3 linked regions of the Oryzias latipes genome follow. The protein of the gene in region 1 purifies or fractionates together with the protein of each later gene. This does not show direct contact. Links are inferred from orthologs where the notes say so. Each region holds a gene or a part of one and is shown in the gene's direction. Other genes may lie near its edges.

What was found.
Region 2: the proteins of lrch3 (region 1) and dyrk1a purify together in Homo sapiens (affinity purification with mass spectrometry; 3 studies listed by BioGRID and IntAct, counting the BioPlex papers as one, with this or other methods). This does not show direct contact. The link is inferred for Oryzias latipes from reciprocal best matches to the Homo sapiens genes LRCH3 and DYRK1A.
Region 3: the proteins of lrch3 (region 1) and sugt1 purify together in Homo sapiens (co-immunoprecipitation; 3 studies listed by BioGRID and IntAct, counting the BioPlex papers as one, with this or other methods). This does not show direct contact. The link is inferred for Oryzias latipes from reciprocal best matches to the Homo sapiens genes LRCH3 and SUGT1.

Annotation. Positions count from the first base shown.
Region 1 is NC_019871.2:14,511-18,739, reverse strand, and holds the start of lrch3 (leucine-rich repeat and calponin homology domain-containing protein 3), read left to right. Parts: upstream 1-1,340; 5' UTR 1,341-1,443; coding exon 1,444-1,702; intron 1,703-2,898; coding exon 2,899-3,043; intron 3,044-4,179; coding exon 4,180-4,229. UniProt on the Homo sapiens protein: As part of the DISP complex, may regulate the association of septins with actin and thereby regulate the actin cytoskeleton.
Region 2 is NC_019871.2:12,328,076-12,331,726, forward strand, and holds part of dyrk1a (dual specificity tyrosine-phosphorylation-regulated kinase 1A), read left to right. Parts: intron 1-1,021; coding exon 1,022-1,218; intron 1,219-1,475; coding exon 1,476-1,568; intron 1,569-1,884; coding exon 1,885-2,073; intron 2,074-2,235; coding exon 2,236-2,383; intron 2,384-2,472; coding exon 2,473-2,759; intron 2,760-2,884; coding exon 2,885-3,031; intron 3,032-3,251; coding exon 3,252-3,392; intron 3,393-3,502; coding exon 3,503-3,651. UniProt on the Homo sapiens protein: Dual-specificity kinase which possesses both serine/threonine and tyrosine kinase activities. Exhibits a substrate preference for proline at position P+1 and arginine at position P-3.
Region 3 is NC_019875.2:17,058,330-17,061,980, forward strand, and holds part of sugt1 (protein SGT1 homolog), read left to right. Parts: intron 1-2,822; coding exon 2,823-2,930; intron 2,931-3,651. UniProt on the Homo sapiens protein: May play a role in ubiquitination and subsequent proteasomal degradation of target proteins.

The DNA of each region.
Region 1 (4,229 bases):
GTCTTGGTCTCTTCATGATGATGAGTTCTGATCCAGATTCCAGCTCAGACTAGGAACACAAAGACGGTCATGGATCTGTTGGTCTGCAGGTGGATAATCAGAAAGGGGCGGAGCATGGAGACTTTGGTCCCGCCCATTTCACTGACTGCATTTTTAATCTGCTCCTGATTTGAATCAAGAAATCAGAAATGCAGTTTTGATCCTAAATGTTCTCCATCGTGGCAAAAATGCTGCGAGAACACCAAAACCATTTTCAGTAGAGTGGCTCTTTAGCTTTTATTTTCCCAGAGTTCTGATGTTGTGGGTTGGCCGGTGCAGGTCTGTGGAGACGTTCTTCCATCCAGGTGGATTCAGTCTATAGACATGAACCGGTTCTAAAGACCAGACGGTTCTGAGTCATGGGGGTCAGTTGGTAGGCGGTTGTGGACAGATGCAGGTTTCTATGAAGGTCATTATTTAAAGCTAAGTGACTTCTATTCCTGACCGCAGGGCGGCCTGTGGTCCTGTTTATTCAAGACAGACGACCTTTAATGTGATTCGTTTGGATTGAAGAGAAGCTGATGGTTCTGCTGACAGAGGTGGAAGAAGGAGGAGCAACACCATGGAGGGGCGGAGCTACAGACTGAAAGAAACGGCATCTCCCTGAAACCACACAAACACAACACACACACGCATATCCACACAAACACAACACACACGCATATCCACACAAACACAACAAAAAAATGTTATTTTAGGACGGCAGAAAAAGTTTTTACAACTTAACTTTAATGAGAGTTTCATAGCGATCACATTGTTAACCAGACGACTGAATTTCTCTAAATGATACCTTACTGTACTGTACTGTACTGTACTGTACTGTACTGTACTGTACTGTACTGTACTGTGAGTTCTGTACTGTACTGTGAGTTTAGTTTATATTTAACCTTTTAGCACCATGGTGACATCACTGTAACAGTAAAATATCTGAAATACATCCTGTGGTTCTTGGTTTGTAGCCGAACACACATAATTGAATTTCTAAGAGTTTTTTAGAGTAACCCTCTGGTGTGTTGATGTTGTATGCTCATGTGCCTGTTGCACTGTAGTGCTATGGAGTGATATTTATGCCACCATGTTACTACACACAAAACTAAAAGTATTAAATATTTGCTTTCAAAAAAATGTTTTGCTTTCAAGCATCACTCCATATACGTTTAGTGTTTTGTTTTACGTATTGTTCACAATAAAGTTTAGTTTAGAAGAATTGTTGTTAGCCAGAAAAATAATCCAAAAAATTGTTGTGATCCCGCGGTGCGCGGTGCGCATGCGCTGCTCCAAGTTCAAGGTGGGAGCCAGCCCAGCTAGCTGTCAGCATCGCGGTGCGCATGCGCCGCTCCGAGTTCAGGGTGGGAGCCAGCCCAGCTAGCTGTTAGCAACGAAAGCTAGCAGGCGGAGCGTGTAATGGCGGCCTCGGTGTTGCTGGGGTCTGCGGACGGATCCAGGCTTAATTTCATCCCCGGAGGCGGCGGCGGCTGCGAGAATGCGGCAGTCGGGAACTCTAACGGACTGGGCCCACCCGGGCCGGCGCCCTGGAACCGCTCTGTGGACCGCGCGCTGGACGAAGCGTCGGTGACCGGCTGCCTGAACCTCAGCGGCAGGAAGCTGAAGGAGTTTCCTCGGAGCTCCAACAACCACGACCTGACGGACACCACCAGGGCCGGTAAGTGCGCGTCAGGGCTCCAGGCGGACCGGAACCGCTGCCGCTTATCGGTTCCCTTAGGAAACCCGGGACCGTCCGGAGTTCGTGAAAAGTTTGAATCCAAGTGTTTGCCTCCGGGGCAGATGGATGGACCGTCAGGGCGGTGCTGGGAGAGTTTCTGCCCCCGAGCTGAGACGGGCTGGCCCCGATTTCGGTTGTTTGAACCCAGAACCGGGACCCTCGTGTTTGTGACGGTGCTGTTTGAGTCCAGTTCGGCCGGACCTTCAGCTGGATGGATGCGCGTGAATACGTGTGGGGGGGATGGGGGCGCGCGCGTGCCCGCCCGATGGGGTCTACCACCTGTCAGGGTTCAGCGGGGAAACAACCAGACAGGTGGACTTGGTGCCGGTTCGGCCGAACCGGAACCGCGGCGGCTGCGCTGCCGGGAAAGAGGAACAAACCGGTTTGGTTTCCATCACGGTCAGTGACGGTTGACCTACCGAAGCTCCGCCCCCCGCGGCTCTGCGCGCCGCTCCGAGTGACAAAACAAACGCACGTCAAACGATTTTCTTCGGTTTTCTAACGGAAAGATGTTCCGGTTCTTGTGTTAGCCCGGTGGAACCCAAAAGCCTCCATGCAGTCAGCTGGGCTTCCTCCTCCTCATCCTCATCACGACCGATTCGGTTCAGCCGGATCAGGAGCGTCCTGCAGGTGTTCATGACTCCGTCATCATGTGACCTGTGGTTACCTTGACGACGGCGTCCGTCCCTGGATGAAGGTTCCTCGCTGCAAACACAGGCGGCCGCAGAAGGAGGACCCTGGTGTCGCGGATGCAGCTGATCGGATCCGTCGGCCTGTCCGGCGCCCCCTGAAGGAACGTGAGCAGAAACGGGTTCTGTCCGTCTCTATAAAGATCTGGAGATTCTGGCCTCACGATGGAGGGTTCTGGTGGGCTGGAGGCCAGAAAGGACCTGCTGACACTAAGCAGACTAATTCTAGTGCATGAAGGAGTCTGGTCCACCACTCCACGGCTGCGTCTCTAAAAGTAAACTGCATCCACTGCTGCTCTAAACCGTCCGTTAGAGGGAGGAATGGCTGCTGTCCTTCTCAGCTGAAGGTCTCTGCAGGGACAGCAGACCCAGGCGGTTCCAGACGTCCCGGCCGCGTGCGTCTCCTTTCACTCAGGCATCAAACCCGCGCTGTGCGTCTGTCCTCAGATCTGTCCCGGAACCGTCTGTCCGAGCTCCCTCTGGAGGTCTGCGTCTTCGTGTCTCTGGAGAGTCTGAACCTCTACCAGAACTGTCTGCGCTCTCTTCCGGACAGCCTGCTGAACCTGCAGGCCCTGACCTACCTGAACCTCAGGTAACACCACACACACACAAACACACACACACAAACACACACACTTCCTCGCCAACACAACGCGGCAGCAGAAATGGGCGGAGTCTGGGAACGTTTTAAAGTCCCATGCCGATCATCTTCTGACATCTGAGCGTTCTTTCCAGGATGGTTCTGCTAGCTTACAGCCCCTAACATTAGCGGGGCAATAACAACAGTATCAGAGCGTCCAGTTCTGATCCAGATTCCAGCACAAGCCCGGCTGGTTCTCCTTCACCACGGCTGGTTTAAAGCAGGTTCTGGAACATCAACCAGAACTAAACTCCAGAACCCAATCCATCAGACTCTGTATGATCCACGTTACTCCTAAAGGAACCGGCATATCTAGATTAATATTGATGTTCCTCACTGGGACTGAAGCTCGCCGGCTGACTGGGTTCTGTTGGGTTCTGGGTTCTGACTCGGCCTGTGGATTGAACCCGAGTCACAAATCTACGATTGACAGCAGAATTGTCATTATTTAACCCAAAGATGTCTGAATGTGTCTTCTTACTGGATGAAAGTATTTGTGTCTTTATGTGGAGCTGAAGATCAACCAAAGATTCAGAGAGAAAGAAAGATTTTCATCACTTCAGGTTTTCTGCCAACTTCCTGGTTAACTTCAGCAGGAAACGAAACCTAAACATTGTTGTTGTTTTGGATCATTTCACAACAAACGAACAAACAGCTCTGTAGAAATAGAACAACTAGAAAAGGCTCGCAGTCCAAACGTTTAAACCGACGTCTGTGTTTCCAACAGACACGTTTTCATATTTAGAGGAAAATAATGACAAGATTATTGTAATATTCCTACATTAACCTGATTTTTTATTTTATTCTCTATTCTGTTTTTATTCTAATCTATTAATTTTAGTTTTTTTCAGTAAACTAAACTTGAGTCACTTTAATCGACAAAAAACACTGGAGACTTTTACTTTGAAGTTTTGTTACTTCCTGTCCCAGTCGCATTTACCCGTTTACACGTATTTTCGCTGCGTTTGGTTTATAAAGATCTCAGACGTCACCAATACTCGGACTGGTATTTTGGGGAACAGGTGGTGAGTATCCGAGTATTCGGATACTCTGTGCAGCCCTAGTTCTGACCCGTCTGTGTGCTGCAGCCGGAACCAGCTGTCCTTCCTCCCCCCGGTGGTCTGCAGCCTCCCCCTGA
Region 2 (3,651 bases), about 12 Mb from region 1:
CGCCTTATAGCACCTCAAATATAGTGTTGCTCTCTGCTCATCTTACAGCTCCTTTTATTTCTGTCAGTGGACGGGTATTTCTTTACTTTTCTAAAGCTGGGTCAGCTTTCTTATGCTCTCATATGAAGTGCAGGTTTTAGGCTGTGCAGCTATTTTGCTGTCAGGCTCTTGTGTTGAAAGCAACGTCTAAGTGTGCCAAAGTTCAATTTTATTTCTTGTTTATTTCTTGTTTTCTCATTGGAAAATGGGAGCAGCTCTGCCCTGGCAACAAAAGTAGGCTATTTGCATACTGCGTTGTGATTGGTCTGTGCGTTGATGGGCTTGCCAAATCACGCTGTATCTCTGTGGTGATAGGCTATGCTAATTAGGTGCTGTTGCTGGGATTCTGAATAGTGGTTACTGTGTAGCACTGGTGAATTGTGTTGTCTGGTGAGAGATGCTGATAGCTGAACATGCTATTTAATAATTTTTTGATTCCTTCTGGCTTAAAATGAAGGATGATTCACCGTACAGTGTGGAGATGCTGTATTCTCACCCCTTTTCACTGTTAAACTGGCTGTTTTTTCCCCTTTTCCTCACAAAGGTTGACATATTTCTGCTGTGTTTTGATTTTTTTGGGGTTGTCCTTTGATTGCATTGTTTAACGTGTACATGTTTAACATAGCACTGTGTATAAACCTGACATTTAATTCTTTAATTTACTAGATTTTGCTGTTTTTGTTGGTGTTTATCATCATTTGAGATTGATTATTAACACAAATGTAAATAATGCTGTTAATTTGCATTTATAAATTCCTATAGATAATTTCTTTTCATCTTAAACTAAGCTGAAGTTTTTTTTGTAAATCTAAACAACAAATAATGTTTCTTTATTATATTGTTTTACCTGTAAATAACATAATACATCTTGCTGGCTTTCTTTGTAGCGTTAAATCTCTGATGACCTCTTTTATTTTCCTTTTTCACTTTTGTATGTTTCTCTGTTCAATGACTTTAAAGGGAACTTTAATTTCCTTTTTAGGAGGAGAGACTTCAGCATGCAAACCTTCGTCCGTCCGGCTTGCGCCCTCTTTTTCTTTACACACTGCTGGTCTTCAGATGGCTGCTCCAATGCCCCATACGCACCAGCAGTACAGTGACCGCCACCAGCCAACCACTGACCAATCTGTTACGGTTTTACCGTACAGCGACCAGACACCACAGCTCACTGCCAATCAGGTACAATCACCCTTCCCACTGCCCTTTTAGGATTTACAGGAATAGCTAAACTTAATTGCACACAAAAGTTTGCTCCCTTTTTTTAAACAAGTATCACTAGGCAGAGTAGCTGCATGTCAAATGTCTTTCTGTGTAATTGTGTCACATTGTGTTAACAGCTTTGAAGTTTAAACACAAACCCTGTAAGAGGAACTTTTTACTTCTAAAGTTGTGTTTCTTTTGTTTGTTTGTAAAATGTTGTTGTACTTTTATTTCAGAGGCACATGCCCCAGTGCTTTCGTGACCCAACTTCAGCTCCCCTGAGGAAGCTCTCCATCGACCTTATCAAAACATACAAACACATCAATGAGGTGAGGCTTTGCTTTAGTAAAAGTTCAAATCATTCTTTGACATTTGTTTTCCCCTTGTTTTAAGATGTTTGCTATTTCAACATTCTTTTTTTTTAAATTGGTAGTCTTTATTATTTTATGAATTTGTTGTTCATAAAGATAGATATTTTTAATTTATAAGAAAAAAACATTATTATTCATTTAAAAAAACAGGAATTTTATACATGAAAAACCTAATTTGTTGGAGCAAAATCCAAAGGAACATTTAACATTTCCTGAAGAAATCTCTGCATGTGCTTTTCTGAAATGCATTCAATTTTCTTTTTTTCTTTTTCAGGTTTATTATGCAAAAAAGAAGCGGCGGCACCAACAGGGTCAGGGTGAAGACTCCAGTCACAAAAAGGAGAGGAAGGTTTTCAATGATGGCTATGACGATGATAACTATGACTACATCGTCAAGAATGGGGAGAAGTGGATGGACCGCTATGAGATCGATTCCTTAATAGGAAAAGGATCATTCGGACAGGTGAGGAATTAAAACTGACAGTCTGTTATTTGTCCACTTCTAAGGGGTTCCAGCTTTCTGACCTTCCTTTTTTTGGTTTTAAATCTTGATGTTTAGTGTAACAAATGTGCTTCAGATATAATACTTTTAACATATTTAATACTGGTTTTGTTCAATTCTCAGGTTGTGAAAGCTTATGACCGAGTAGAGCAAGAATGGGTTGCCATTAAGATCATTAAGAACAAGAAAGCTTTCCTTAATCAAGCCCAGATTGAAGTGCGCCTTCTGGAGCTTATGAACAAACATGATACGGAGATGAAATACTATATTGGTAATTTACTTTTGATGTCCCACATACAGAACAAATCCAACGGCTTGCAGTGTCAGCGACTAACGCGTCCAATTTTTGTTTCTTTGCAGTCCACCTGAAACGTCACTTCATGTTCCGTAACCATCTCTGCCTCGTGTTTGAAATGCTGTCATATAATTTATACGACCTGCTTCGAAATACCAACTTCCGCGGCGTCTCACTCAATCTCACCCGGAAGTTTGCCCAGCAGCTATGCACGGCACTACTCTTCCTGGCCACCCCCGAGCTCAGCATCATCCACTGTGACCTGAAGCCCGAGAACATCCTCCTTTGTAACCCCAAGAGGAGTGCCATCAAAATAGTGGACTTTGGCAGTTCATGCCAACTGGGACAAAGGGTATCTACCATCATATATTTCATCTGCTATACAGTCTATGTGTGTTTGTGAGAAATGGTTTGCAATTTTCAACAAAAGCAATGCGCTTTACAGTCACCCTCACTTCCCACGCTTTGTGTTTGTAGATATACCAGTATATCCAGAGTCGCTTCTACCGTTCTCCAGAAGTGTTGCTGGGAATGCCCTATGACCTGGCCATCGACATGTGGTCCTTGGGTTGCATCTTGGTAGAGATGCATACCGGAGAGCCTCTATTTAGTGGAGCCAATGAGGTATAAAACATGATAAAAATATCAAAGACATATGTGGAGCTTATTGATAACAGGAATATCGAAAAGTCACCTTGTTTGTAGTTCTTCAATAAAAAAGTACCCTTAAAACTGGATTTGTAAGCCGTGGTGTGTTCCTACAAGAGCTTAGAAGCATTTTGACATTTACCCTCATTTATAATGAGTGCAAATACTTATTAAAAGATGCATTTGGTTTCTTCAGGTGGACCAGATGAACAAAATAGTCGAGGTTCTTGGCATCCCACCCAATCACATAATGGACCTAGCCCCAAAAGCCAGGAAGTTCTTTGAGAAGCTTTCAGATGGTACATGGAGTGTTAAGAAGACCAAAGATGGCAAAAGGGTGAGTTGACAGCTTTAACGCCAACTGATGGGTGCTGATGACGGAACTGTCTTGTTTGATGTCTTGATATGCACATTAAAAAGCTTTACATGTCTTTGGTTTCTTTGTAGTATAAGCCTCCAGCTTCGCGGAAGCTCCACTCCATCTTAGGTGTGGAGACGGGCGGTCCTGGTGGCCGACGGGCAGGGGAGTCTGGCCACGCTGTTGCTGACTACTTGAAGTTCAAGGACCTGATCCTCCGGATGTTGGACTATGACCC
Region 3 (3,651 bases), on another chromosome or scaffold:
TGTCATCTGGACTTGGTTTTAAAGTTAGAAGACGTTTCACCTCTTATCCATGAGGCTTTGTCAATTCTGAATTAGCTGGTCCAAGAGCTGGTATATATGCGCTCATGGGGGAGGAGTCAAACTGGATGGTATTGTCAACTTAGCCTACATGGTTTCGGGTCGTTAAGAGTCCTTTGTAACAGTACCTGTTATTTGACTCAAACCACCCCTTACAGCACAAACTAGGCGTTATCGTGACACTGCAACACTGAGCCCAGGAGGTGCCCACAAGCTCTGAGGGAAAGAAGAAAGAAGAGCAACATATCCGCCGAGCCCTCCGAACCGGTGGATATCCCAACTGGGCATTCACCAGATCCCAACATATAGAAAAACAAGACAAGAAGGAACAAGAGCCGAAAAGGAACAGTATTTCAATTCCGTATATCTCAGGCCTGTCTGAAAAACTAAAAAGGATTTTCAAACAACATAACATCCCAGTTCATCTCAAACCAGTTAATACTCTCAGACAAAAACTGGTTCATCCAAAGGACAAAATTCCCAGCTAAAAACAGAGTAATGTTGTGTACTCTATCCACTGCAAAGAGAACTGCAAGGAACAGTATATAGGAGAAACCAAACAACCTCTACACAAGCAGCTTTACCAACATCGCAGAGCCAACCCAAGTGGACCTGAGTCTACAGTGCACCTCCACCTGAAGGCCACAAACCACTCATTCGAGGACAGTGAAGTCCGAATTCTAGCCAGAGACAAAGGGTGGTTTGAGCGAGGAGTGAAAGAAGCCATCTTTGTCAAGAAGGATAAATCTTCTCTTAATAAGAATGGTGCTCTCAGTTTTATTCTTCCATCCATCTACGGCGGTGTCTTGAAACCTAAACAAACCAAACCAGTTCCACCTGGGTCGTTAGTAGCTGAAAGGGTTGACCAGTTTGGGGAGGGAGTCACTGGCTCCCCAACCCCCAGCTGAGGACAAAGGACTCTTAACGACCAGAAACCTGTAGGCTAAGTTGACAATACCATCCAGTTTCAGGTCTGACTCCTCCCCCATGAGTGCATATATACCAGTTCTTCGACCAGCTAATTCAGAATTGACAAAGCCTCATGGATAAGAGGTGAAACGTCTTCAAACTTAAAACAAAGTCCAGATGACATCCCCTAAACCTACTACAATTTTCTCCTAAAACTATAACTGGGGTGTACTCATTATTGCAGCATGGACTTGAATTAATTTGTTAGGAAAATCACTTTTTTGTGTGCGCTGTACACTTTAACATATCTTGTTTGCAATCAACGGACTATTTTTGTAGTGTTTCACAGTAAATGTTGACTCTGAAAGGACACTAAAGGTTTTCTGACAAATGTAGTGGGGTGTACTCATTTATGCTGAGCACTGTAAAAAATAAAACAAAAATTTGCCCATGTGTGAATCAGGGGAGAGTCTTTATCATCTATGTGTACCATACTATTGGTGACAGTATCATAGTCTGGGCCTCCATTGATAATTATTTCCATTACACACTTTAAAACTGAAGATTGCTCCGGCAAAACCTAAATAACGAAAACTCGTTATAATACCGTAACTATTCGACTGTTTCCGGGATCAACAGGATTTATCTTATTTTGATGAGCAGAAAAGCGTTTATTTACTTTTTAACATGACTAACAGAGTGTTTTGCTTGCATAACAGCGCAATACTGTTATTTTTAATTTTATTTAATTTTTTTTTCCGCAACAAAATCAGCTGCTTTACATCGAGCACGTTAGCACTTCACTGCTGTAAAGTGTTGCATAATCAGTGCAAGGCTTAATCTCCGCTGAAACTGCACTAAATGCATAAACGGTTGAATAGTTACAGTAGTTGATTGAATGGCAGCACTGGAGCTAAAGCTCTGGTGTTAAAGGGATGAAAAACAATCTGTTATATCATCCGGTCATCTGAACATCCTTTCGATTTCCTTCATATTCAGGCTGGCAGCCAAAGCACAAAATCAGTATGATTTGGATTCACGATTCACTTTCAATTTATTTATTTGTTCATTTCTTTTTTTTTTTTTTCTTTTTTTTTTTGCTGAACTTCCTCTCAAAACTGACCGTTTGGTTATAAAAAGCCTTTTTTAAATATTTTTTTTGCTATTGATTAAAAAAAAAGTTGAAACGCAGAAATAAAAGCTTACATTAAAAACTTTTATCCGGTTTAGATGTTAAAAGAAGGAATTGACACCAGCAGTTGCTTTCAACACAAAGCACACACCGTTGTGTATTTTCCTGCAAATCACTTTTGCAGCATATTGACTCCCATCATTGTATTTTGATGGAAAAGTGCAAACACCTTGCCGAAACAGAGCCTGCTGTGGTAAAACAAGCTTATCATAGTATTTTATAGTATAACAGCATAGAATGATGGATAGTATCTGCAGTCAAAGAAGAAACAGAGTAGCACTTTTCTAGAAGTATGATTACAGGGTTGAAGCTGTACCCTTGTCTTTCTAAATCAACAAACATTTGAGTGACATCATAGAATGTGCAAACCCCCCCACTTATCAGTGAGCTGGCGTGGTGCAGGTACACCAGTTTATCAGACGATAACCTCCATGAATAAACTCACACCTTCACCTCCTTTTCTTTCTTCCTGTTTCCTCATTTCTTTTGTGTCGGGCAGAAAAAAATAATATAGGCTGATTTTGTTGTGTACGTGTTCCGTCTTAATATCCGCGTGCCTCATTCAATAAGTCCTTACAAACATGTCGGTTTGCTTATTCTCTACAGATGAACCTTTTGAAGGAGGAAAAAAAAGAAAGTAATATCTGCTGTCTCGTATTTTTAGCTCTCTGCAGAGATGCAGCTGCCATGTGGGGAGAACTACAACCTCCACCTCCACCTGCTGCACCCCATCCTCCCCCAGCAGAGCAGCTTCAAGGTCCTCACGACTAAGGTATCACCCTCAGCTTGGATCAAATGTGCTAATGGGAGCCATCACACTGGATAAGGAGATTATTGCTGTAACGTTTGCAGCTTTACATATTCCACATCCAATTGAACATTTTTGTCATCTGTGAAAGACTTTTTGGAGAGGAAAATCTAGTCACATTTGAAAGCTTTCAGACTCACCAGATGTGTTTGTTGATTTATTTAATAACTTTTTTTAAATTTGTAAATGTAGAATCTAAAGGTGTGGTGATATGAAGGGATAGAGCTTATGAGGCAGAAGGGGAAAAGGCTCATGGAGCAGGAAAGTCAGGCTGCAGTCTGTCTTTGAAGTCTACAGAAGCACACGCCTTGTATGTAGGGAAGCATTCCAGTCCAGACTAACGGCGTTGCTATTTGCCATGACAAATGCATCCATTTTTTCATCTGTGACTAAAATAGATCTGTTGGTGAATTTGAGGCTGCTTTGTGCTCAAAACGCCCAAAAAAAAAGGAGCTTAGGTCTCGGTTAAGTTTGTGAACGTCGGGGTAAAGTGATTCAGTTTCACTGAGGATGCTGGGAATGTCTTCTAAGCGCACTCAACAATAAAGGAGCAGGCTGTCAAACATCGCATTTTATCACGCTATAAAGAAGATCTGATCGTAAGGATTTACGAAGAGAAAAAAGGGACCAAGTTCTACTCAAACCAGTTTATTGCCAACATAAATACTCATTAATCTTGTTTTGA